Linked DNA regions of Cricetulus griseus. The main gene of each other region encodes a partner of the protein of the gene in region 3 in a complex. Links are inferred from orthologs where the notes say so. Each region holds a gene or a part of one and is shown on either strand. Other genes may lie near its edges.

Region 1 (7,390 bases), on a different chromosome or scaffold from region 3:
CCTCCCGGCTCTCTGTGCTGTTCTGGCAGATCCCAGGCAGCTGGTGGCAGATGACACCTGCTTGGAGAAACTGCTGGATTGGTTTAAAACAGTGATGGAGACAGGTAAGGTCATGGTGTATAGAACTGTCCATCCATCCGGTGTCTTTGTTTCACCTCCTTGAGGCTCTCTGGATGAAGAGTCAAGATGGGGTGCCAGGGTGGTGAACGAAAGTCCCATGGGAGTCCAACCACATTTCAGGCTTCCTGCTGTTCGGTTCACACTAGGTGTTTGTGGAGAGCACGACCACGTTGTTTAGCCATCTTTCTTGTATTTTGCTTATTTTGAAGAACTTAGAACCCTGGGTGGATGTGGTGGGACATGCCATCCAGAAGTCAAGGCAAGTGGACCTCAATTTCAAGGTCAGCCTGTGCTACATCGTTCAAGGCCAGCCGGAGTTACATTTTTGCTGTGTGTGTGGGTGGATCTTAATTTATTTAATCACTTGCATTGTTTGTGTTCCCAATGTTTTGTTATTATAAATAGTGCTGTACTAGCTTTCCTTGAGTGTGAGTAGCCTGGCAACTGGAAGTTTTTCCTCCCATGGTTGATCATTGTCTTCTAAAAGATTCTGTGATCCTTGTCTTGTCATAAATACCTACCTTCATTGCTTCCTTGGTTTGCTATTCTTTTTTTGCATTTGAGACATGATCTAATGTAGCCTAGGCTGTCTTCAAACTCACTCTGTAGCCAAGGATGACCTGGAACCTCTGGTTCTCCTGTCTGTGGCTGAGTGCTGGGATCATAGGTGTGAACCATCACTCACTGTTTTTATTGGATGCTGAGGATGGAGCCAGGGCTTCCTGCATGGCAGACGATCAATTTACCAATGAAGTTATATCCCCAGCATTTATGTTTTTTGTGTGTGTTTTGTCTTCCCTGTTTTCTTTTGTTTGTTTTATGTTTTTGAGATAGGGTTTCTCTGTGTAACAGTCTTGGCTGTCCTAGAACTCATTCTGTAGACCCGGCTAGCCTGGAACTCAGAGATCCACCTGCCTCTGCCTCCCAAGTGTTGGGATTAAAGGTGCTGATGTGTGATATGTGTGTGTTTACATATGTATAACATACACATACTGAGGCAGGGTCTCCCTTTCTCTTTCACTTGAACCCAGAGCTTGTCCGTTTGGGTGTTCTAACAGGACAGCTGAGGGTCACCTATCTATGTCTCTGGAGTGCTGCCTGTCCAGCATTTTTATTGGTTCTGGGAATCTGAACTCTAGCCCTGCACAGAAAATTTTACCTACTGAACCATTCTCCAGACTTTGAAGCCTACTTTTTAGTCAAGTTTTTGCAAGTAATTTTGCAGGATTGTGTGTGTGTGTGTGTGTGTGTGTGTGTGTGTGTGTGTGTGTGTGTGTGTGTGTGTGTGTGTGTGTTTTGCATGCATACCCAGGTATCTACATACGAAGGTCAGAGCAGGATATTAGACATCTTCTACCATCACTCTCCACCAATTGCCATGAGATAAAGTCTGTTACTAAACCTGAAGTTACAGGAAACTAGGCTGGCTAGCCAGGCAGTTCTTGGGATCTGCTTGTCTCTACCCCTTCCCCAACTCTAGAATTAGAGGCATGCAGACACATGCCTGGCTTTTATGTGAGTGCTGGGAATTCAAACTCAGGTCCTCATGCAGTGCCTGCCTTATCCAAGGAACCATCTCCCCAGCCCCTTTCACAAGTTTGGTTTGTTGTTGTTTCTTTGGAGGCAGGGTTCAGCTGTGTAGTCCAGGCCACCATTCAGACCAAGTTGGCTTTGAACTGAGAGGTCTTCCTGCCTCTGCTTCCCAAGTGCCATGTTTAAAGGTGTGTGCTGCCACATCTGACCTGCAAGTATTTCTAAACATCTTTATGGAGATATGATTTACATGTCACAGAGTCCACCTATTTAAAGTTTACCTGTTCAGCTGGGCATGGTGACTCACATCTGTAATCCCAACATTTGGGATGCTGAGGCAGGAGTGTTGCAAGTTTGAGGCCAGTCTGGGCTCCATAGTGAATTCAGGGCCAGCTTGGGCTACAGAAGGACACTCTGTCTCGAAATTGTATATAAAATAAAATAAATGATTGGAAATGAAGTGTGCCAGTTTACTGGGTTTTAGTCAACTTAGGAGGTGTCTAGTCTCATTTTGTAACTTTTTGTTCCCCCCATAGCTAGGTGTCCTTTGGTAGACAGTTCTTCCTCCCACCTCACCCCCAATTTCCCTCAATTTTTAATTTTTATTTTTAGGGGGAGTTCGAGACAGAGTTTCTCTGTGTAGCTTTGGAGCCTGACCTGGCATTCGCTCTGTAGTCCAGGCTGGACTTGAACTCACAGAGATCCACCTGCCTCTGCCTCCTGAGTGCTGGGATTAAAGGTGTGTACCACCAATGCCTGGCCCCTCAATTTTTAAAATGTTCCACATGATGGAGCTGTGCCTGTTGGTGCAGGCCTGTTAGCCCACTTACTTGGGGCTGAGACAGGAGGATTATGGTCTGGGCTGCACAGTGAGTTTGAGGCAACTTAGGAAGATGCTGTTGAAAACGAGTGGCAGGGCTGGTAGCCAAGTGTGGCAGAGCACTTGGGAAGCAAAGGCAGGAGGGTCAGGAGCTCATGGTCAGCATTAGCTGCCTGGCAAGTTCAAGGCTAACCTGGGCTAGACTTTGTAAAAACAAGCAAACAAACTACCCCAAAACAACAACAACAACAAAAGGCCCTGGGAAGTAGCTCAGTGGGCCCACCACACTTGAGGCCCTTGGGTTCAGTCCCTAAAACTGGCCCTCTCCCACCAAAAGGGAAAAAAAAGGTCTGGTGACATACCTATAGTGTCAGCATTTGGAAGATGGAGGTGGGAAGATCAGGAGTGCAAGGCCATCCTCAGCTATATAACATATTCAAAGCTAACTTAGGTTACAAGAGACCCCGCCTTAAAAAAAAAGAAAATGTTCCACATGTTGGAGTGAACAGTTTTCACTTTTGTTCATTAGATTGGCCTTCACCATTCACATCTGCTGTGTTTGACAATCTGTCCCTCAATTCTTTCTTGGAGGTGTGTAAAAGTGTTGCCCTGAGATTGTAAATTCAATTTTTTTATGTAGTGTTGTCTTTAATGGCTCCTTATTTATTTCATTTCTTTTCTCTCTCTTTCTTTCAGTCACTCTTCTTTCTTTTTTCCGTTTTTTTCCCTTTAATGATAATAGAAGTAGACAAGTATTTTATTGCTGAGCCAAGCCACCAGCCTCTTACTGGGGAGGTTCTAGGCAGATGCTCTACCACTGAGCCAAACCCCCAGCTCCTTACTGGGGAATTCTAGGCAGGTGCTTTATGTGGAATTACAGCCCCAGCTCTTTACTTGTTGTCTTTATGGTTCTTGTCTGTATCTTTTATTTACTGCTGAGTCATTGGCTTTTGGGGGAGGTCTCCTTAATAGGTTAAGAGCTATTTGTTGCAAAAACCCCTCCTCCTGGGACTACTCAATCCTGAGGGTTAGGGATATGTGAGCTACTTCTAGAGAGGTTCTCCCTGGTCATTGCTGTCTTGGGATGTCCTGTGTCTACAGAGTCCAGCCTCCATCTGCTGCAGGACCACCCCTGCCTAATGGAGCTACTGTCCCATGTGCTGAAAACACAGGATGTGAGCCCTAGGGTCCTCTCCTTTGTTCTACGCCTTGTTGGCATCTTTGCAGCCCAGGAGGACTGTTTCCAGTACCTTCAGGTGAGCCTTTTTCTCCCATGTGTTGTCCCCTTAGGGGTGGGCATCCTTTCCCTCTGGATTAGGAGCCATCTCAGGACGTGGGTGTCAGTGGCTGGCCCTGCTCCTGTGGCTGGCCTGTGTATCAGGATTTCAATCCCAACATCACCCCATATTGCTCCTACTTGGAAACACTTGGCTAGGGATGATGCTGGCAGGCTTCCCATTATCACCGTCTGTGTGATCCTTGCCACGTTCTGAGCTTCTCTTTCTGATGGGCATGTGAGGGTTGGAGGACACTCCGGGTGCTTTGTCTGCAGCATAGTCATGGATTGGTTGCATGGGGGAAAGAACAGAGTGGTCCACATGTAGTGACTCCACCTGCCAGCTCCAAGGGATCTGATTCCCTCTTCTGGCTTCCACAGGCACCTGATTTCCTGTACATACCTACACTCAGACGTATACACATAATTTAAAAAATAATAAAAATCAGGCCGGGCATAGTGGCGTATGCCTTTAATCCTATCATTTGGGAGGCAGAGGCAGAGGCAGATGGATCTCTGAGTTTGAGGCCAGCCTGGTCTACAAAGTAAGTTGCAGGACAGCTAGAGCTGTTACACGGAGAAACCCTGTATTGAAAAACAGACAAATAAATAATAAAAATCTTACAAAGAAAGATGAAGGAGGAAAGAAAACCTGTTCATTCTTCCTGTGACTCTCATGAGGGCAGAGTGATGGTGCTTGGGCCTGGGAACAGCTGTGTGGCACCAATTGGTGCCTCCACCAATCCTGTTGGTTTTTTTGTTTTGTTGTTTGAGGGTTTTTTTTTTTTTTTTCCCACCAAGACTTTATGTATTTTGTTTTTGCCTTTTGTGACAGTGTCTCTCTATGTAGCCCTGGCTGTCCTAAAACTTGCTATGCAGCCCAGCCTCTGCCTCCCAAGTGCTGGGATTAAAGATGTGTGCCGCCACACCACTGTGTTTATTTTTCTTTTATACCTACAGTATGTCTGTGGACCACATGCATGCAGTTCCTGTGGAGGTCAGAAGAAGGCATCAGATCTCCTGGAACTGGGCTTTAAATAGTGGCAGGCTACCATGTGGGTGCTGGGAGTTAGGCCTGGATTCACCAGAGCAGCCAGTGCTCTTAAACCCTGAGCCATCTTTCCAGCTCTCTGCTTTCATTTTTGACATAAGGTCTTACCATGTGTCCCTGGCTGAGCTAGAATTCAAAGAGACCAACCTGCTTCTGCCTCTGGGGTTAAAGGTGTGTACCACCAAGCCTGGCTCCACTAGTCCTGACAAACCAAAACAAAACAAAAAGCCTTCTCCCTCTGCATTCCTGATGCTTTCTTTGCTTCTTAGCAGGGGGAGTTGTTGCTGGGGCTCTTTGGAGAGACAGGTGCCCTTAGCTGGACAGCCTGGAACATGCCCAGCGTACGCAGTGGCTGGATCCAGGGCTTGTGCTCCCTGGCACACCACCCCAGCGCCCTGCACTTCCTGGCTGACAGTGGTGAGTATAGCCCACACCCTTCCCCAGTTCATATAGGCCACTCTTTCTTCGAGTGCCTGTGCTGTGGGATCTCTAAAGGAGCCCCTGAACCTCTGAATCGAGTCTTCTTAGCTGGGGAAGGGTGGTGGTGGTCTAGAGTTGTCAGGATAAGCACAGATGATTATAGGGATATTGTCATCTTTGACTCCTAGGATCTGGGTGGCTCCCGCAGTAGTGTATTGTCAAGCAGTCATGAGTTTGTCCTTGAAACAAATTAGAACTGGTTAAAAGCTATGTTGACTTTAAAGCCAGCATGCTGGAGGCTCATGTTGACTTTGCTTGTGAGCAGAGGGGAGTCTGGTGCTCTCCCTGAGGCCTGGAAGGGTGTGACAGAGACAAGGTACTCTCTGCATGCTTCCTCACTCAGGCTGACCTTTCGCTGCCCACTCCAGGTGCTGTGGACACGATCTTCGCCTTGCAGGGAGACCCCAGCCTGTTTGTGGCCTCTGCAGCCAGCCAGCTCCTAGTACACATCCTGGCTTTAGCCATGCAAGGTGGGGCTTCAGGGTCCCCCATCTCAGAAGCTGCTGCCTGGCCTATCTGTGCCCAGAAGATTGTGAACCACGTGGAAGAGTCCTTGCATTCCAAAGCCACCCCACAGGTCACACAGGCCTTGAATGTACTGACCACCACCTTTGGGCGCTGCCATAGCCCCTGGACAGGGGTCCTCTGGGGGCGACTGAGTCCCCCTGTTGCCTGCCTGTTTGAGAGAGACCCCATTCCAGCTGTACATTCGCTCATGGACCTCCTGCTCAGCGTAGCCAGGTCAGGTGGCTGCAGGGGCTGAGGGTGAGTGGTACTTGCCTGTGAAGTCTCAGAGCAGCTGATGCTTCATGAGGAGGACCCTAGTACTGTCACCTCAAGGGATGGTATCTTCAGGACTGAGCATGTTTGCAACTGTCTAGTTAGGCACTGATGGAGGAGTGGTTTTTCTTTCTGTAGGTCCCATGTGTTGAATTTTGCAGCCTGTGGTCTGTGGGAGATGCTGGCCCAGACTCTGAGCCGCCTGAGTCCCACACAAGCTGGGCCTCTAGCCTTGGGGACCCTGAAACTTCAGCATTGGTATGATTGGGGGTGCTGAGAGTGTTACACTAATGGTTGGGAAACTTTGGAAACTGGGAAGCCAGATGTGAACATAGGCCAGGTGGGAGAGCAGGCAGGTAGGATGGGCAGATATGAAAGCAATAGTTGCCTCCTTCTGTCCCTCTCTCCTCCTCCCCTTTCCTTCTCTTTTCCTTTCTCAGTACTTGGTGTGGAACTCAGTACTTCATACATGCTAGTCAAGTACTCTACCACTGAGCCATGCCCCCAGCCCCTCACTGGGGGATTCTAGGCAGGTATTCTACCACCTAGCTACAACCCCAGTTCCTCACTGGGAGATTCTAGGCAGATGCTCTACCTCTGAGCCATACTTCAGCCCTCAGCTTGGATTACAGACATGCTCCACCATACTGAGCAAGAGACATAACTTTTGAAACAAAAGTTTTGTGGTGCCCCCAAAGCCAAAGCTAACTTCTGAGCAATGTGTAGCTGTTCTCTGACCTCTACTATGGATGAGCCAGGCTCCTGGAGCCCCATAGTGTCTACTCCAGGGGGTGTGCAGAGATATGGGTTGCTGCGTGTGGGATGCAGGGAGGAAGGGTGTTGAGTGTCTGAGCAGGCCCAGAACACCAGGATGGTCCATCATAGAATGTGTAAAAGGACATTTCAGGTCTTTGAACACAACATGAGCACACTGGGGTACTACCTTAGGAGCCTGAAAATTGCCTGTCACTCCGATCAGGGAGTGTGACCAGCCCTTCTGGGGACCCTGAGACCTAGTGATTGCCTTGGTTGGCCTTCTGTCCCATCCTGATCCTTAAGTAGTAGCTTGCAGAGGAATTGTATACTTGCTTGTACTGAGTCACCATAAATTAACTGAGGATGTTCATATTGCTGCCAGAGTATAACCCTTACCGTGTACTGTGTCCTCAGTCCCCAGGAACTGAGAACCCAGGCCTTTGGAGTCCTCCTCCAGCCTCTGGCCTGTATCCTGAAAGCTACCACTCAGGCCCCTGGACCTCCAGGTATGCAGGGAGGGTGGAACCTCCATCCTTAGGCAAAGAAGAGTGAGCTGCCCTAATCCTACCCAGAC
Region 2 (7,490 bases), on a different chromosome or scaffold from region 3:
CGCAGTGCCACACTCCAGGTTGCACACGAACTCTGGTGGGTTTCTGCCAAAGCTCAAAATAAGGCAGTGCCCACCCTGGTGGCTTTGGGGGTGGAGCCTGCAGAGGGCGGGGCTTTGGGGCAGGGCGAGCTCAGCGCCTCCAGCGGGCTCCTCTCCACTGTAGTTTAAAAGGCTGGAAGGCGGGCTTCGAGAACTAGTATCTGAGTGCGGGAGAAGAGCCCGCTTGAAACAGCCATGACCCGGCAGGCAGGGGGCTCTCGGCTGCTCTGCAGTCTCCTCCTCTTTGTGTTGTTCACTGCTGGCGTCGCCCCCTTCAATTGGGATCTCCCGGAGCCCCGCAACCGAGCCAGCAAGATCCGAGTGCACCCCCGGGGCAACCTCTGGGCAACCGGTAAGTCTTGAGGGGACACCAACATGTGTGCCTCATTCTCCTTAGCCCCCAGTTTCCTTTCAACTTTCTGGAGGCTCACAGTGGCAGAGCTCCTGCAGACCCCGGGGGCTCAAGTTTAACAGGTGGGAATTAGCAGGTCAGATCCAGCAGCCACAGGCTAGGCTAAGATAACCCATTAAGCAAGTTTAAGACAAGAGCTGGGCCAGCATTGTAGATCTGGTTGCCAGCCAGCCCCCCTTCCCTTAAGCAGACTGCCAGGTTTTCTCACTCATGTCTTCTTTGTACATCCGTCTCCGAGGAGCCTTCTCTACTTCCTTCCCTGGCCCCAGGCTATCTACCCTTCTTCCAGTTGTGCTGTCCTCCAGCAGGTCGGGAAAAGCTGAGGCTTTGCCTCCACCCAGATGTCTGTGGCTTCTTGCTGAGGAGGAACATTTCTTGTCTTTCCTCTGTGAGAGCAGAAAGGTGGAATAGACCAGAACTTGCGTGTGGTAGGTAATAGGGTCCTCACTCCCTAGCTGTCACATACCTTGGCACCTCTTTTTTAGGTCATTTCATGGGCAAGAAGAGTCTGGAGCCCCCAGGCCTGTCGCTTGTGGGGACAGCACTTCCCAGCATCCAGAGGGACCAGAGACTGCCGCTGAGTCATGATCTGTTCCGGATCCTCCTGCTAAAGAAAGCCTTAGGCATGAACCTCAGTGGCCCAGACTCCCCAATTCAGGTGAGCCTCTACCCCAGTACCAACATGGAAGAATTGTCACCCAGCTTGGGTTCAGGGTGGGACTGCCTAGCCAGGATGTAATATGCATGGATTCTAGAAAGTCAGGGTCTCAGGGCTCAAAGGGGAAATATCCCAAAGACCAGAAAATGACGCAGCAAACTGCTTGGGAAAGAAGTTCCTCTTTGCCCATCCCCAGTCTGAAGTCACAGACTAGGATATCCTTGCCTTTGAACAGACTGTCCTCCTCCATGCCACACAGCCTTGTCCATCCCAGTTGTCATCTGCCTTTGCTGTTCCAGTCTGCCTGTGGTCTGACCTGTGACCTCTGAGCCCTAGCGGTGCAAAGGGAACTCAGAACCAGCCTACTTCCCATCTCCCTGTCCATCCCCCTGTCCAGTTACCAATGGCAGGCTTTATCATGTCAGTGCTCTCGACAGTCTAGGCTCTGGGGGCTGTCCTGTGCATTTAGGATGCTAAACACATCCCTGGTCTCCACCTACCTGACGCCACTAACACATTCTCTCTCCTCACCAAGTTGTGATAACCAAAATTCCCTCCAGGTCACAATGGTGCACTTGCCTGCAGTACCTGATACATCAGGAGGATGGTTTAAGACCAGGAGTTTGTGAGAAACAAAAACAAAAGAGTCTTTAGACACCAAGTTGATGTCCCCCAGGTGGAAGTGGCTGTAAAGCACTAACTAACCTGTGGTGCTCAAGCCCTTAGTGTCCTGCCTGGCTGGGTGGCAGCTCTTCCATTCTTTGCTTCTGGTACTGTCCCCACTGCACAGCACTCTCCCTTTACTTACTGCTGTGTGCAGAAGGCAGTGTGATGGGGTAGCATGTATGCTGGGGCCACATAGCTAGTTAGTAGTCAGGTGACCTTAGGAATGTCACTGAACTACTCACGCTCTTCATTGAATGGAAATAACAGACCCATTTATGTCACATGCACAGTGTGGTACACAGAAAGGTCTTGGTAAGCAGGAGCTCTTACTGCCTGTCTGCAAGCCCCTGGCAGTGCCTGCTGCTGACTCCCTTTGTAACACCCCACATCTGCCTAGCAGTGTGTGTATATGGAAGGAGAGACATTCCGTAGAGAAAGTCTACCTACAGTCCCAGCAAACATCCCAGAAATCTCAGATTCAAGAGCAAGAAGCTTGGACTGGCAGAGTCCAAAGAGACATAACATCACCTCTAGGATTATTTTGAAGGCCTGAAATACCAAGACCAACCAGAGACTCTCAGGGGAAGCAATACTGCCATGGCCAGTGGCAGGGAGCATCAGAGAGGTCTGGGGCAGAGTTTGGGGGAGGTAGAGGAATGTCGCTAACACTTGTCTAGTGCCTTGGACTTGATTTCTGTGGTGCCCTTTAATTGTCATGACCACCCTGAAATCAGTGCCATAATCTGGGAAAACCATTACCCCTGACTCGTCTCAGGCCTTTCAGGGAGAAAGGTACTCACTCAGAGACCCAGCAGAGAGCATGCCCCCCCCCCCGCCACTTCTGTGCATACAGCATATCCCTATGATGTGTGGGTCAAGCCTTCTCCTTTTGTCTTCAGTACAGGAGGCTGCTGGAGCCAATACTGAAGAAGTGATGCCAATAATGGGACCAACACAACAACATGGCTTAGAATGTGTCCATCCAGGCAAGCTGCTGAATGCAACCCCAGGAGTGGCCCCATCTGGATGTAAATTCTAAGCTCCAGTGTGTTACTCCTTTGCTGAGATTTCTGGTTGGGTCACCTGGAATCTTGATGATGCAGACACAAAGTCTTTCCTGCTGTAGTTCTTGCTTCCCTGGTGAAGTTGTGAATAAAAACCCTGCTCTTTACACAGAATGTCTGGGCATCTTCTTCCACACACTTTTGAAGAAAGGGGAAAGGACTCTGAAGGGTGGTGTGTTTGTTGAGATGGGGTGGTCTTGGAAAAGCTCCATCACCCTTCACCATGGTGCCAACCAGGCAATGAATGATTGTCAACTTTTGGCAATCAGGTACTCTGTTCACGGGCCCATTGTCATTTCTACTACCTAAAATTTCTTTGCCTGAGATGGGGAGCTGCCTACACCATGCTACACTCACCCCATCTTTCATCCCAAGCTTTAGTGTGCTGGAATCCAGCCCTGCTGTTTTCTGGTTCTTCTCTGGATGTAGGAACCTCTCTGTAGGCTGCCAAAGTTATCGAATAAAAATGAGAGTGTCAGATACTTTATTGATTGGTACAGTGTCTTGTGTAACGTAGACTGACCTCGAACTCCCTATGTAGCACATGAGCACTGGAATTACAGGTGTGCGCCTCCATGCCAGGAGTGTTTATGCGGTACTGGAAAGCGAGCTTCAAGCATGCTAGGCAAGCACTCTAGCTACATTCCTAGCCCAACAAAATTTCTTTCATTAAAAAAAAAAAAAACCTAAAGTATCCTTCACGGGCACATTCACGCGAACTTTTAAATTAACTGTTCACCTTAAGTTCCAATTAAGTCTGTATTGTACCTGGCTTTGGGACACTTGACAGCTCTTTGGCTGCACAAACTTGATCCTAAAACGGGGCATGTTTGATGTCTCCGGCCCTGCTTGGAGCTGACATCCAAGAATGTCTGTTTCTGCGTCGTTTTTTACCCGGAGTCTGCCCACAGAACCCGGGAAACATGAGGGCTTCGCGCAGCTCCGAGCGCTGCCTGCACCGCTAGGCGGGAGACCACGCCCTCTCGCGAGAGTGCGTGCCCGCCCCGGAAGTCGAACTGACGGAAGTGGAGCGAAGGAAGCGGCAGTTGCTATGGAGCTCGCGGAGGACTGGCTAGTGGAGTCTTTGCGCTTGTAAATCGGGCCGTGGGCGGGTCTGGTGGGCAGTAGGCGAGGGCGCGGGCAGCCCGGACCCGGTGTAGGCTCGCGGGCGGTGCTGATCCCCGGCCTCTCGTTCTGGGACACTCGGCCCTTCTGTAAGCAAGTAGTGGGACCAGGTGCTCACCCGGGAAGACTGGTTATGTTGCGCCGGCCTTTAAGTTAACTGAACACAGGTTTTCCAATTGATTGTTCACATCAACTTGGTGAAATAAACTTTGCGGAACCCCGGGAGTCCCACAGATTAAAACCATGGGTTGGTGCCTTGTCTTAACACACAGGAAGTAAAATGCGGAAAAAAGACCCAGTCCCAGAACCTGGGTCCACTAATTCTGCAGTGATCTCAGAGTTTTTGGTCAGCTGTACAGTGTCGTGCACCGTGTGATTTTTTTTTTTTTTAAATCTCTCTACTGCAGGTACCAAGATTTCCATGCATTTGACCTCTCAGGAGCCACTCGAGTGCTTGAATGGATTGGTGAAAAAGGTAATATACCCAGCCTGTCTCTAAAGGAGATGGCTTTCTGCCCTTGGGCAGAATTTTAAGGCCTCAGCCTTTTGAGAGACCCATCCAACTTCCATGGGAGCCAACTAGTGAACTGAGAGGAAATTTATCCTTCGGGAGAATTTATAAATCCAGCTGTAATCCACGATATTTCTGACAATTATCATAGTTACTGTTATGTTTCAGGAGTGTTTGTTGCTGGTTATGAGAGTTCGAAGAAAAATGAGATTCTTCATCTGATACTACCTCTCAGACTCTCTGTGAAGGAAAACCAGGTAACTTAAACAGAGAGGGAATATAAGGGAACTTGTACGTAGGCCTTTCTGGAGTGCCTGTTACCCACCAGGTACTGTCCCTGATAAGCTCTGGGTCTGTCTGTCCTTAAAACCTAGCAGAAGGAAGCTCCTATGCATAGGGATGAATGCCAAGGAAAGTCATGTGCTTCCTGAGAAAGCTGCTACAGATGACTGTATCAAAAAATAGATGTAGGGAGCTGGAGAGATGGTTCAGGGGCTGAGAGCACCTGCTGCTCTTCCAGAGGACCTGTGTTTGGCTCTCAGCACCCACGTTGCAGCTCACAACCTTCTATAACTCTTGTCCCAGGGCACCCGGCACCTTCTTCTGGCCTCCAAGGTACCAGGTGTGCATGTGGTGTTCAGACATGCATGCACGCAAAACACCATACCCGTAAAGAATTTTTAAACATAGATGTAGGGGCTTGAGAAGCAGCCCAATGGTATAGAACTCACATAACATGAGCAAGGTCTCTTTGTTCAATCTTCACAGCATCACACACACACAAAATAGATTAGGGAGCCATTAGGGAAACCATATGGATGGGTAAGATCACCTAGGATGAAGGTGTGAGATCTGAGAAGGCCTCTGCCTCCTGAGTGCTGGGATTAAAGGCGTGCGCCACCAACGCCTGTCTTAGGGAATAAATTTAAATGATGCAAAGAAAGAATAGTCTTTGAAGTTAGAGGAGAATCTGTGAGTGGTTAACTATGCAAATATAGTTATTGGCTGCTACTACCACTAGCCAGCCAGGGCTACACAGTGAGAACTTATCTCAAAAAAGAAGAAAGAAGAGGAGGAGGAGGAAAAGAAAAAAGTTGAAGAAGAAGAGAAGAAAAAGAATTAAATGTGCCTGATAGAGTGAATACTTGTTAAGTGGTTGTCTTGTCTCTGTTGCTAGAGGAACCCACCTGGCTCCTAGTGGGAGGGTGAGTGGTTGGCAGTGGCAATCCTTGCTTTCTTGGCTGAAGCTGTTTTCTTCTGTTATTCCCAGGAAGGCTCAGCATGTTTTTGCCCCTTCTGAGAAGGATGAGACAGGCTAGAAGGCTTGGAGATGGGCAGGAAGATAAAGAAACTGGACATATAGACATTTACAGACATCTGCCGGCCAAGGTCCGGCTGAGTAACTCTCATGGCCTCCTTCCCTGGCACTCATCTGAGGTGTTTGAAAAGCAGGTGCTCAGGGCTGGAGAGATGGCTCAGTGGTTAACCACTGGTGGCCCTTCTAAAGGACCCAGGTTCAATTCTCAGTACCCACATGGCAGTTCAAAACTGTCTGTAACTCCAGTTCCAGGGGGATCTGCACCCTCACACAGATACACATACAGGCAAAACCCCAATGTACATAAATAAACCTCAAAATAAAAATAAATTTTAAGGAAAAAAAAAAAGAAAAGCAGGTGCTGAGCTCAGCGGTGGTGGCGCACACCTTTAATCCCAGTGCGGCAGAGGCAGGCGGATCTCTGTGTTTGAGGACAGTTTGGTCTACAGAGTGATTTCCAGGATAGCCAAGGCTATTCAGAGAAACCCTATCTTGTTAAAAAAAAAAAAAAGAAGAAGAAGAAGAAGAAAAGAAAAATTCAGTGCTGTCTGATTGCCCCCACCCTTTTGTGTTTTAGGGTTTATTTCCAGAGAGAGATTTCAAAGTGCGCCATGGAGGATTTTCAGACAGGTCTGTCTTTGACCTAAAACACGTGCCAGATACCAGGTATGGCTAGTCTGTGTCCCATACCTTCTGTTCTGTTGGGATGACAGGAAGTGCTCGAAGTGTTATGTCTTCTTACCACCATGCCCACTTCTCAGTCTCCAGACGTAGGTGGGGTGCACAAGGGGCTGGGGCACACATAGATTTAGTGTATGAAGAAACCATTAGCTTAGCAGCCATTTTGAGTAGTGGAGCCACCAAGTCTCTGGAGTTGCTCCAGGGACCAAATACAGAGTGGAAAATTCTCTGGAGCTTCTCGGAGAGCTGTCTCAGTCAGGGTTATGTGTTCAGGCTCCCCACCTGTGTCCTTTCTAGGTGGCCATCATGACCTGTGGAAGCCTGGGCTCGGTCTGTGGCTCTCTCTGAATTGTGATCCTGTCCCTAAAGCAGGGTGAGCCTGCTCCTATGTTGAATGAGGGTAGCTGGTCCCAGGGATCCTGAGTGGGCTGGAGAGGAAAGGCTGCCAGGGTGAGGGTGAGCTTCCCTCTGTCTGGACTGATTTTCTGTCCCTCTGGAACAGGTTGCTTGTGACCACTGGCCTTCCAGGGTGTTACTTACAGGTGTGGCAAATTGGAGAGGACAATGGTGAGTGAAGTTCACTTGGTGGAAGTTGAGGTTTTAGGAAAGCCACTCATGTTCCTGTCCCTTATGCTGAGTCACTGAAGAAGCCTGTAAGGGAGGGGACAGGGGACAGCACAGCTTCTGTCTGCTTTTGCACAGCAAAGATGAGTTAGCATCCATAGGGTGGCAGATAGGCATAAATGCTGCAGCTTTGAACTTCCTCCAGGAATTGAGTTTACCAACCCAGCCACTGGCAAAGCACCTAGAGAGCCAGGGCCTCTCAGCTGGGCAGGTTCAGAGGAAGGGCTGAGCTAGGGCCACTCAGAAGCACCCAGCTGGAGGAGGAGGAGGAGGAGGAGGCAGCAGCATCGAAGAGGTTCAGGGGAAGGAAAAGAGCAAGTGAGAGAGAGGCTCACTGGCAGTCTACCCGGAGATCACACTACTTCTCAAGGGCACAGAGAAGGAGCAGGAAG
Region 3 (7,490 bases):
AGAGCTGGTGCGCAGGCCTTCCAGGAACAGCTGTAGCCAGCGCAGAGCGCGATGCAGGCGCAGCACAGTCCGGCAGCCGGAGTTAGGGTATCGGGAACGGGAGCGGCGGTCTAGGTCCACCAGCTTGTTGCCCACCTCATAGGCCACCATCGACTGCAAGCTAGTGTAGTGTTCATACTGTGGGCTTTTCCTCAGGTGCTCCATTATCTGCAGCTTTGAGACCACATCCTTGGAAATGAATGAGAACACGGCACCCAGGCTGTTCAGAAACCTGTGCAAGGAAGTATACATTTGAGGCCCTACCTAGACTGGCAGTCATGCTGTAGTGGAGGAGATATTACCTCGAATCTGCTAGAGCACTTGTTAGTCTGGAGGCAAGGGCAGGGAGGCTGAAGGAAACTGCCTGCTAGCTGTTCCCATGTTCCTGTGCCATGTGGAATGCTGGTGTCCCATGTGAGCTCTGACTGGCAAAACCACTATCTTCAGCAGCCCCAATAAACGCACCTGACCAGCCCCTTCCAGCTGTTGATATAGTGGTCCAGCAGCACCTCTTCCTCCTCATTGAGACACTGCTTGAAGCTGATCAGGACGACTTTAAGGTTGAAATCTGTCTCTGGGCCATCCATCTTCCACAATGAGCTGAAATAGTTTCACACAGAGCTTGTAGTCATCTCACTCTGGTTTATAGTCTCAAGAAGGTCTGAAAGTGAAAGTGGGATTCTAAAACTCTTTGCTGAGAATCATCCCTTTACCCAAGTGTTTTCCTCAGGAGCTGCAAGCTCTCACACAAGCCAATCTGACCTTGCTATACCCTTGATGAATTCTGTACCCACAGATCGTGACATGGCTGCTCCTGGCCCTTCAGGCTAGTAATTTGGTCAGTTTCTGACCTGAGAACCCATGGCTGCACTGTTTGCATCTGCTACTGCTTCTTGCTTTTCTGCTTCTTCTCTTCCTAGAGCATCTGTTTCACACATTAGGGTAATGTTTCTAAAAGGGAGGCATAGTCCTGGACCCTGGCCATACCTGGAACTCACTGTATCAAGGCAGCATTCGGATGGGAAGCTGTACCAAAACAAAGATCAGGACTCTTAAAAAAACAAGTGATTCTCACACAGGGATGAGTAAAAGGATGGCTAGACAGGCTTTCCCTTCCTTGATCAGGGCTGTATCCCCCAAATTAAATCAGAGGCTGTGGGCTGGCATCTGCTAGACAGACAGATGGACACTCCTATTGTTGAAATGGTATGCATCCCCAAATAACAGGGTAGCTGGGCCAAAGGTCTTACCACACACAAAGGACTGCTATAAATCCTCCCATCAGCTCCATAGAACATTCTGGAAGTGATCTAGGATAGGAAGGGGCCCTAAGGTAAGGTGGGGCTCTGGATACAGTAGGCATTTTTACGTTCATTCCACAAACATGCTAGTTCCCATATTTTTTTTTTTTTTGAGACAGGGTTTCTCTGTGTAATAGTCCTGGCTGTCCTGGAACTCAGTGTGTAGACCAGGCTGGCCTTGAACTCACAGAGATCTACATGTCTCTGTCTCCCAAGTGCTGGGATTAAAGGCATGCATCTTAAGGCATGCACCACTACTGTCTGGCTAATTTTATTTTATTTTTTATTTTTTGGCTTTTCGAGACAGGGTTTCTTTGTGGCTTTGGAGGCTGTCCTGGAACTAGCTCTTGTAGACCAGGCTGGTCTTGAACTCACAGAGATCCACCTGCCTCTGCCTCCCAAGTGCTGGGATTAAAGGCGTTGGCCACCACCGACCGGCTAAATTAGGCATTTTTTTAATGTGTTGTTTTGAGACAAGGTTTCTCTGTGTAATCCTGGCTGTCCTGGACCTGACTCTGTAGACCAGGCTGGCCTTGAACCCAGATTTGCCTGCCTCTGCCTCCTGATTGCTGGGATTAAAGGCATGTGTTATCACACCTGACTAGGCTTTCACTTTCAATCTTCCTGCTTCCTGAGTAGCTAGAACTACAAGCTTGTGCCCCATGGGTCCTTTTGTGCTCACACCATGAATGAATAACTCCAAGCATCCAGCCCCCACCTTCCCTGGTACCATAGAGCCATGACTTTATGTCCAGGATCAAGCCTGTGGGAGGTGGCTGCATCTCATCCATGTCCAGCATGGACACTCAACACCAGTTCTGCAGGTTCCTGTGTCCCTTAGCGCTGGATCCCTTCCCTAACTGCTGTACCATCAAAGTCCCCCCAAAACCATCCTCATCCAGGGTACCTGGATCTGTGTGCAAATTCTTTTTTTTTTTTTTTTTCTTCAGACAGTCCTATGACTCAGTGCTCCAGCTCTGGGAATGTGGTCTGAATGTTTCCCGATCCATAACTGAGGCTGTCAGTTGTGATACGGTCCCATGGGTTGGACTGGACTCCCATCACAAATTCCAGACCCTGACCCTGGAGATGGGCTCACCTTGTGTTCAGGTGTCACGGACAGCCTAAGAAAGATGGCGACGCCCATAGTCTTGCCACACACCCTCTCTTAGGGCCTGTTTGCTGTCCACTGAGCAAATAGTCTCTGAAGCCTCCTACAGTTCTTTCTTTCTTTCTTTCTTTCTTTTTTTTTTTTTTTTTGCCACTTAACAATCCTGCAGCTAGGCCTTCCTGCTCAGAGCCTAACCCAGGAGTCAAGTAGCCACTTATTGCTGTCCGTGGTAAACTGGAAAGAAAAGGAAGGGAGGGCGACTCGTCAGCTCCCGGGAGGTGATGCAGGATACGTCTAAGCCTCCTACAGAAGATCAAGCTAGACAGGGTGGACAGCCGGCAGAAAACTCACAAGCTAGCACACAGCATATACACCCAGGCGTAGCAGTGAGCCAAGGCCGTTCAGGGAGGTCCGCAAATCTCACCTGGGACGGATTCCTGTGGCGAAGTGTCAAAGGTGTGGCAGAGGTCAGTGATGGGGAGAGTTGACCAAAGTTACAATAAGGTTGCTGTGGGAGCCGAATCTTTGCCCGTCCGTCCCGGTTGTCTACAGAGGCGCGACTCCGCGGCCTGGATCTCGTCAGGTAGGCGTCCCTATGCTTCTCCCACGCCCGGAGCCTGTTCCGAGACAGCTCGAAGCCTGCGGTTGGGCAGAAGTCTTGAGTTGCAGCCCAAGGGTCAGCCGCTGCCCCGCCCTTCGCTGCTACTTCATCCCAATTGGCTGCTCATCACCCAATTAGAACTCGACTTATCGGCCCGCGTTTCCGGCGCGAGGACAGGAAGCCGGCGTCTTGGCAGTTGCCCCCTCCGTATTGTGTGGGAGTCGCAGTGGCTGGGCGTGGGGGGTAAGCCGCGCGCGCGAGGTGGAGGCCTTCCTGCGGGCGGTGCACGCGGGCTGTGGAAACGCAGTTCGAGACTGCCTCCCGGACGATGCCTGAAATAAGAGTCACTCCCTTGGGTGAGTCCGAGTGTGAAGCGTCTTCTGCGGCGTCCGGCGAGTCGGGCCGGTCCCTTCATAGCAAGCAGTCTAGCAATACAACCAGCGGTCAGCCCCAGCTGTGTGTCCCAAGGAGCGAAAGGTGTGGTGGAACGTTTCCGAGTTGGTGCTTCCTCACCTCTGCCTGGCACCGGGGTCGAAGAGATTGGGGTTGATTCCTGGCCCTGGGGCTCGGTATGAGTTATGGAGGCCCCGCTTCTGTGCCTAGACTGTAGGCTGCCAAACAGCGAGACGAGAATGAGACCCTGAAGCCCAAGGTGTCTGTGAGGCGCAATGAGTTTTGGGCAGGCGTTGCCTCTGTATTTAGCTTGTTAGCGGTGTTAAATTCAGAACCACAGAACTCGTCCTGGCGACTTTCCTGTCCTGCACGTGGATTGCTGCTTCAAGACTCCCTCTGCTTGGGCGTCTTCCTCACTTCTGTTTTTCTTTCCATCTCCCCGACCTGCTTATCGTGCCCAGGTTGCTTGTTGTTACCCCTCAGTTCAGTCTTTGTGTCTGGTCCATCCCGAATTTTAAAAAAAGTATATTTGTTCGTGGTAGAAAATACAAATCTAGCTGGGCGGTGGTGGTGCACGCCTTTAATCGCAGCACTTGGGAGGCAGAGGCACTGTGAGTTTGAGACCAGCCTGGTCTACAAGAGCTAGTTCCAGGACAGCCTCCAAAGCCACAGAGAAACCCTGTCTCGAAAAGCCAAAAAAAGAAAAGAAAAGAAAAAAGAAAAGTCTAGACTTCTAAAAGTCCTAACAGCATAGTATGGTGTGTTGGAGGAAACAACCATTTGAGATCTGGGGTTCTAGAACCTTGCTGAATGTTCCTTGGGCTTTTCCTCATGCATGTGTTGTCAGGTGTTGGAGCACCATCTCATTCATATGATCCAGATCCTTAGGCCATTTTGGTTAGAACTTAGTCCCAACTCACTGCATCACAGGACCTTAGCAGGAGCAACCTCTCATACTGGCTACCCCCATCCCATCTAGGTACTAATTAGATTACATGATCAAATAAGAGCAAGCATATTCATAGACCCAGCTCCCTGACTCCTACCCTCCCACTAGGAAAAGTTTGTTTTCTGCCACAGTTCTGAAACTTTTTGGTACAGTTGTTTAATCTCCACCTGATGTACTCAGTGTCTAATCACCTCATTCCCCAAGGATGTAAATCTGTATTGTGCAGAGATGTATTGACAAGGTAGTATCTTCTGCTTTCTTCTCAGTTTTGTCTCCTCCCATGTCTAATGTCTCTGCAGTGTGGGCTTCTGTTCTTTCTTGGAATTGTAAGTCTCTTTGGGGACAACATTTACCAGTTCACAAGAACTGGAACTTTATAATTCCAAAAAGCATACCTTTTCACCATTCTTGGTAGTGTGTGATTATGGATGCCTGTGATGTGAGGTCCTCCCCTGCAAGGGTGTAGCCATTTCCCTTCTATAAATGTTTCAAGGGTCTCAAGGCCTAACACAGCTTTAGGGCTAGAGGTCCTATGGGGAAGGACGCGAAGAACTTTCCCTCAGGGAACACACATCTGGAGGTAGTAGGAACAGGCCTGCGGGAGAACCTGAGGCCAACTCATCCCCAGCCTCATTGTGCCTGACGACAAAAGGAAGGCAGACTGGGCCATGGGTGATGTTTGTGGTACTGATAGTGCTTGGTGCTTGAAGTTGGCAGATGGAGACTATAGGATCCAAGATGGGTACAAGGCTGTTTGTTGTTCTCAGACTCCTGTTGTATCTCTCTTCTTATGAACCCAGATTCCAGGGAGATAACAGCTAAATGGGGAAGATAGGTGTGTCAAGTGTGGTCAGTATCTTGGGCTGAATAGCTAGCAGGGTTTGGTAGTCATCAAGACCATGGGGGGAACTCCTATTGAGGCTGAGCTAGGGGCTCAGTGGTATGGGGCCTGTGCTGCACACTGACTAAAGTGGGCCATGTGTGCTGCAGCTAGTTATTGGTCAGAGTCATGATTCTTTATGGCTGGGCTGAAGCCATGTGGATATGATACCACTCAACACCAAACCTCAGGATCCAGGTCTCAGCTTCTTCAAGCAGAAATCCAAGGGAAGAAGCCTCATTGATTTGCAGCCCCATTGAGGGTCAGGAGTAATTGGACTAAGGTCTGGGGAAACAACAGTGATATTCCACAGAGAGGTAGCTGTGGCTTGCTTCTGTTCAGTGTTGGGGACCACAGCCAGCCAGTGCTTAATGCTCTGCTAGGAGTTTGTTGCAACTTTGAGATTTGAAGTAAAGCATAGAGAAGGGAGGGCATGTGATCCTAGCATAGTGCTTTGTCTCCCCATTGTGCATTCCTCTTATCTGCATGTGAAGGTACCTGTTGCCTAGCCCATGTGTCTGTCTACCCAACAGTCTTAGATCCTGTAGAGCCAACGGTAACAAGTAGTTCAGTGGAGGTCAGCCCTTCCAATAGTGAGGGAAAGAAAGTGGAGAAAAAGTGAGGGAGGAGCCATGGCTTTGTCTCTTACCTACCTTTCTTGAGCAGGGGCTGGCCAGGATGTGGGCCGCAGCTGCATCCTGGTCTCCATTTCGGGCAAGAATGTCATGTTGGACTGTGGGATGCACATGGGCTACAATGATGACGTGAGTACTCTGGGCGGGTGGTCCAGAGGGCAGCAAGGGCCACAATCTACTTTCTAGTCATGCTCTGCCTAGCCATGTGAATCCTGGGACCTCAGAGAGGGGACAGATGGGGCAAGTGGGCAGTGGGGGCATTCCTGGACAGCTATACCCATGCTGGGTGGGGACAGGTGGCCCTGTCACATGGTGTTTGAAAAATAGAGACCAGCTGAGATGAACCTCTTGAGGATCCTTGAGACTGGTCATATGGACCCTTTGGGCTCAGCTATTTGCTGCTTGTTCATGAGGTCAGCTAGTAGCTTGACCTTTCCATGAGGTTTTGAATAGCCAATAGCAAACCCACTGATGTAAGAGTTTGCTGGGGTCATTCCTTGGGGTGCACCACTCTTGCTTCTTGAACCTTGGGTAGCCTGCTGTGTTCCCACTTTTGTCTCATCAGAGGCGCTTTCCAGACTTTTCCTACATCACCCAGAGTGGCCGGCTGACTGACTTTCTGGACTGTGTAATCATCAGGTAGGTTTGTCAGGAATTTGATGTCCTTTTTTATACCCTATTGTAGAGGCTATGTTAACCAAGCTACATTGTGACTCATTCTTTTGAGTGGCCATTATCCCCTCAGAGCCAGGAAGATGATTGTACCTGTTGGCTGTGCCCTTTCGTGTCATGACATAAAGCCTAGCAGGTGCCCCAGGAAGTAAGAGACCTAACTAGGGTAGCCAGTGCCAAGATGTGCCCTTCACCTGCTAAGTATGGGTCTCTCCAGCCTAGATGACCCCATGAGACCTTTTCCCAACAGTACCTGGCAACAGTGATTGTACTCTCTCACCAATTCCTTCCCATTTTACTAGCTAAGTACATCTGGTGTATTTCTGCTTCTACATCCTCTTCCAGCCTCTAACTCTGGTTCCTTAAGCCTCCTTTTCTCTTGTTCCTTTGCTGTCTCAAGAGTGCTAAGCCCTGTTGCTCACTGGCCATTACTGATGTCCTAGTTAATGGTCTAGCTGCCAGTTGCTACCACCTCAGCTCGGTAGAGCTGAGCAAGGGAGACATCTTTCTTCCCACTTTGGCTCCCATTTTCATGTTCTGTCCAGATAGGCTGCCAACTGTTCCCTCTCAACACAAATCCTGCTGTCACCTCCTAGTTGGCCACATTCTGACCGTAGCACTTCCCTCTCAACACCTATCCTGCTGCCATTAGCCAGAGTGGTCCTTTGGGCCTAAAACAGTCCATCTTGGTAAGATGTGTTCTCAGTAACTCAGGCTCTGGTGTTTTGGTCCCTTCTAGACATGGATCACTCACTGCCTGCCTGCTTTGGGTTGACTGGCCCCACTCTTTTTGGGAAGGATATTCCTAGGCCTTGCCCTGAGCAGTCTCAATTCTCTCTTGCCTCCATCAGGAAGACTTTCTGACTACCTGACAGATAGTGGCTCTTTTCCTGCTATTGTATTTGCTGG

The links.
Region 1: the proteins of Ints11 (region 3) and Brat1 are in contact, whole or in part, in a cryo-EM structure (PDB 8UIB), measured with the Homo sapiens proteins. The link is inferred for Cricetulus griseus from reciprocal best matches to the Homo sapiens genes INTS11 and BRAT1. Residues at the interface, in NP_060341.2 of Homo sapiens: Leu9, Val15, Gly16, Lys27, Met35, His36, Met37, Gly38, Phe39, Arg43, Asp47, Tyr50, Thr58, Asp59, Asp62, His70, Leu71, Asp72, His73, Asp87, Gly88, Gln97, Pro101, Ile102, Glu105, Arg108, Lys109, Val112, Asp113, Lys114; in NP_689956.2 of Homo sapiens: Asp25, Thr27, Cys28, Glu30, Lys31, Asp34, Pro117, Ser156, Ser157, Leu158, Phe159, Ser162, Lys358, Ser359, Cys366, Arg367, Arg424, Arg427, Thr465, Lys468, Lys469, Trp514, Glu515, Asp518, Ser519, Glu522, Tyr560, Ser564, Ser604, Glu605.
Region 2: the proteins of Ints11 (region 3) and Wdr73 are in contact, whole or in part, in a cryo-EM structure (PDB 8R22), measured with the Homo sapiens proteins. The link is inferred for Cricetulus griseus from reciprocal best matches to the Homo sapiens genes INTS11 and WDR73. Residues at the interface, in NP_060341.2 of Homo sapiens: Tyr206, Thr208, Thr209, Ile210, Arg211, Asp212, Ser213, Arg215, Cys216, Arg217, Glu218, Arg219, Asp220, Leu222, Lys223, Lys224, His226, Phe255, Arg258, Met259, Leu364, Val384, Glu385, Tyr386, Ser388, Lys418, Lys419, Glu421, Phe422, Gln425; in NP_116245.2 of Homo sapiens: Asp5, Asp6, Leu8, Val9, Ser11, Leu12, Tyr15, Gln16, Phe18, Tyr19, Ala20, Phe21, Asp22, Leu23, Glu50, Leu52, Arg59, Leu68, Phe69, Pro70, Glu71, Arg72, Asp73, Phe74, Lys75, Val76, Gly79, Phe81, Asp116, Ser117.

What each region holds. Positions count from the first base shown.
Region 1 is NC_048597.1:77,313,001-77,320,390, forward strand, and holds part of Brat1 (BRCA1-associated ATM activator 1), read left to right. Parts: coding exon 1-104; intron 105-3,574; coding exon 3,575-3,729; intron 3,730-4,806; exon of another isoform or gene 4,807-4,971; intron 4,972-5,069; coding exon 5,070-5,217; intron 5,218-5,648; coding exon 5,649-6,021; intron 6,022-6,198; coding exon 6,199-6,318; intron 6,319-7,230; coding exon 7,231-7,322; intron 7,323-7,390. UniProt on the Homo sapiens protein: Component of a multiprotein complex required for the assembly of the RNA endonuclease module of the integrator complex.
Region 2 is NC_048596.1:116,664,881-116,672,370, forward strand, and holds the start of Wdr73 (WD repeat-containing protein 73), read left to right. Parts: upstream 1-3,849; 5' UTR 3,850-3,890; coding exon 3,891-3,931; intron 3,932-4,371; coding exon 4,372-4,439; intron 4,440-4,643; coding exon 4,644-4,732; intron 4,733-6,370; coding exon 6,371-6,459; intron 6,460-6,976; coding exon 6,977-7,041; intron 7,042-7,490. Other genes in the region: Nmb (neuromedin-B), read left to right, coding at 235-391, 937-1,109, 2,680-2,814. UniProt on the Homo sapiens protein: Component of a multiprotein complex required for the assembly of the RNA endonuclease module of the integrator complex. Associates with INTS9 and INTS11 in the cytoplasm, stabilizing the INTS9-INTS11 heterodimer and blocking the active site of INTS11.
Region 3 is NC_048595.1:410,782-418,271, reverse strand, and holds the start of Ints11 (integrator complex subunit 11), read left to right. Parts: upstream 1-3,239; 5' UTR 3,240-3,380; coding exon 3,381-3,408; intron 3,409-5,940; coding exon 5,941-6,038; intron 6,039-6,474; coding exon 6,475-6,548; intron 6,549-7,490. Other genes in the region: Cptp (ceramide-1-phosphate transfer protein), read right to left, coding at 1-271, 505-626.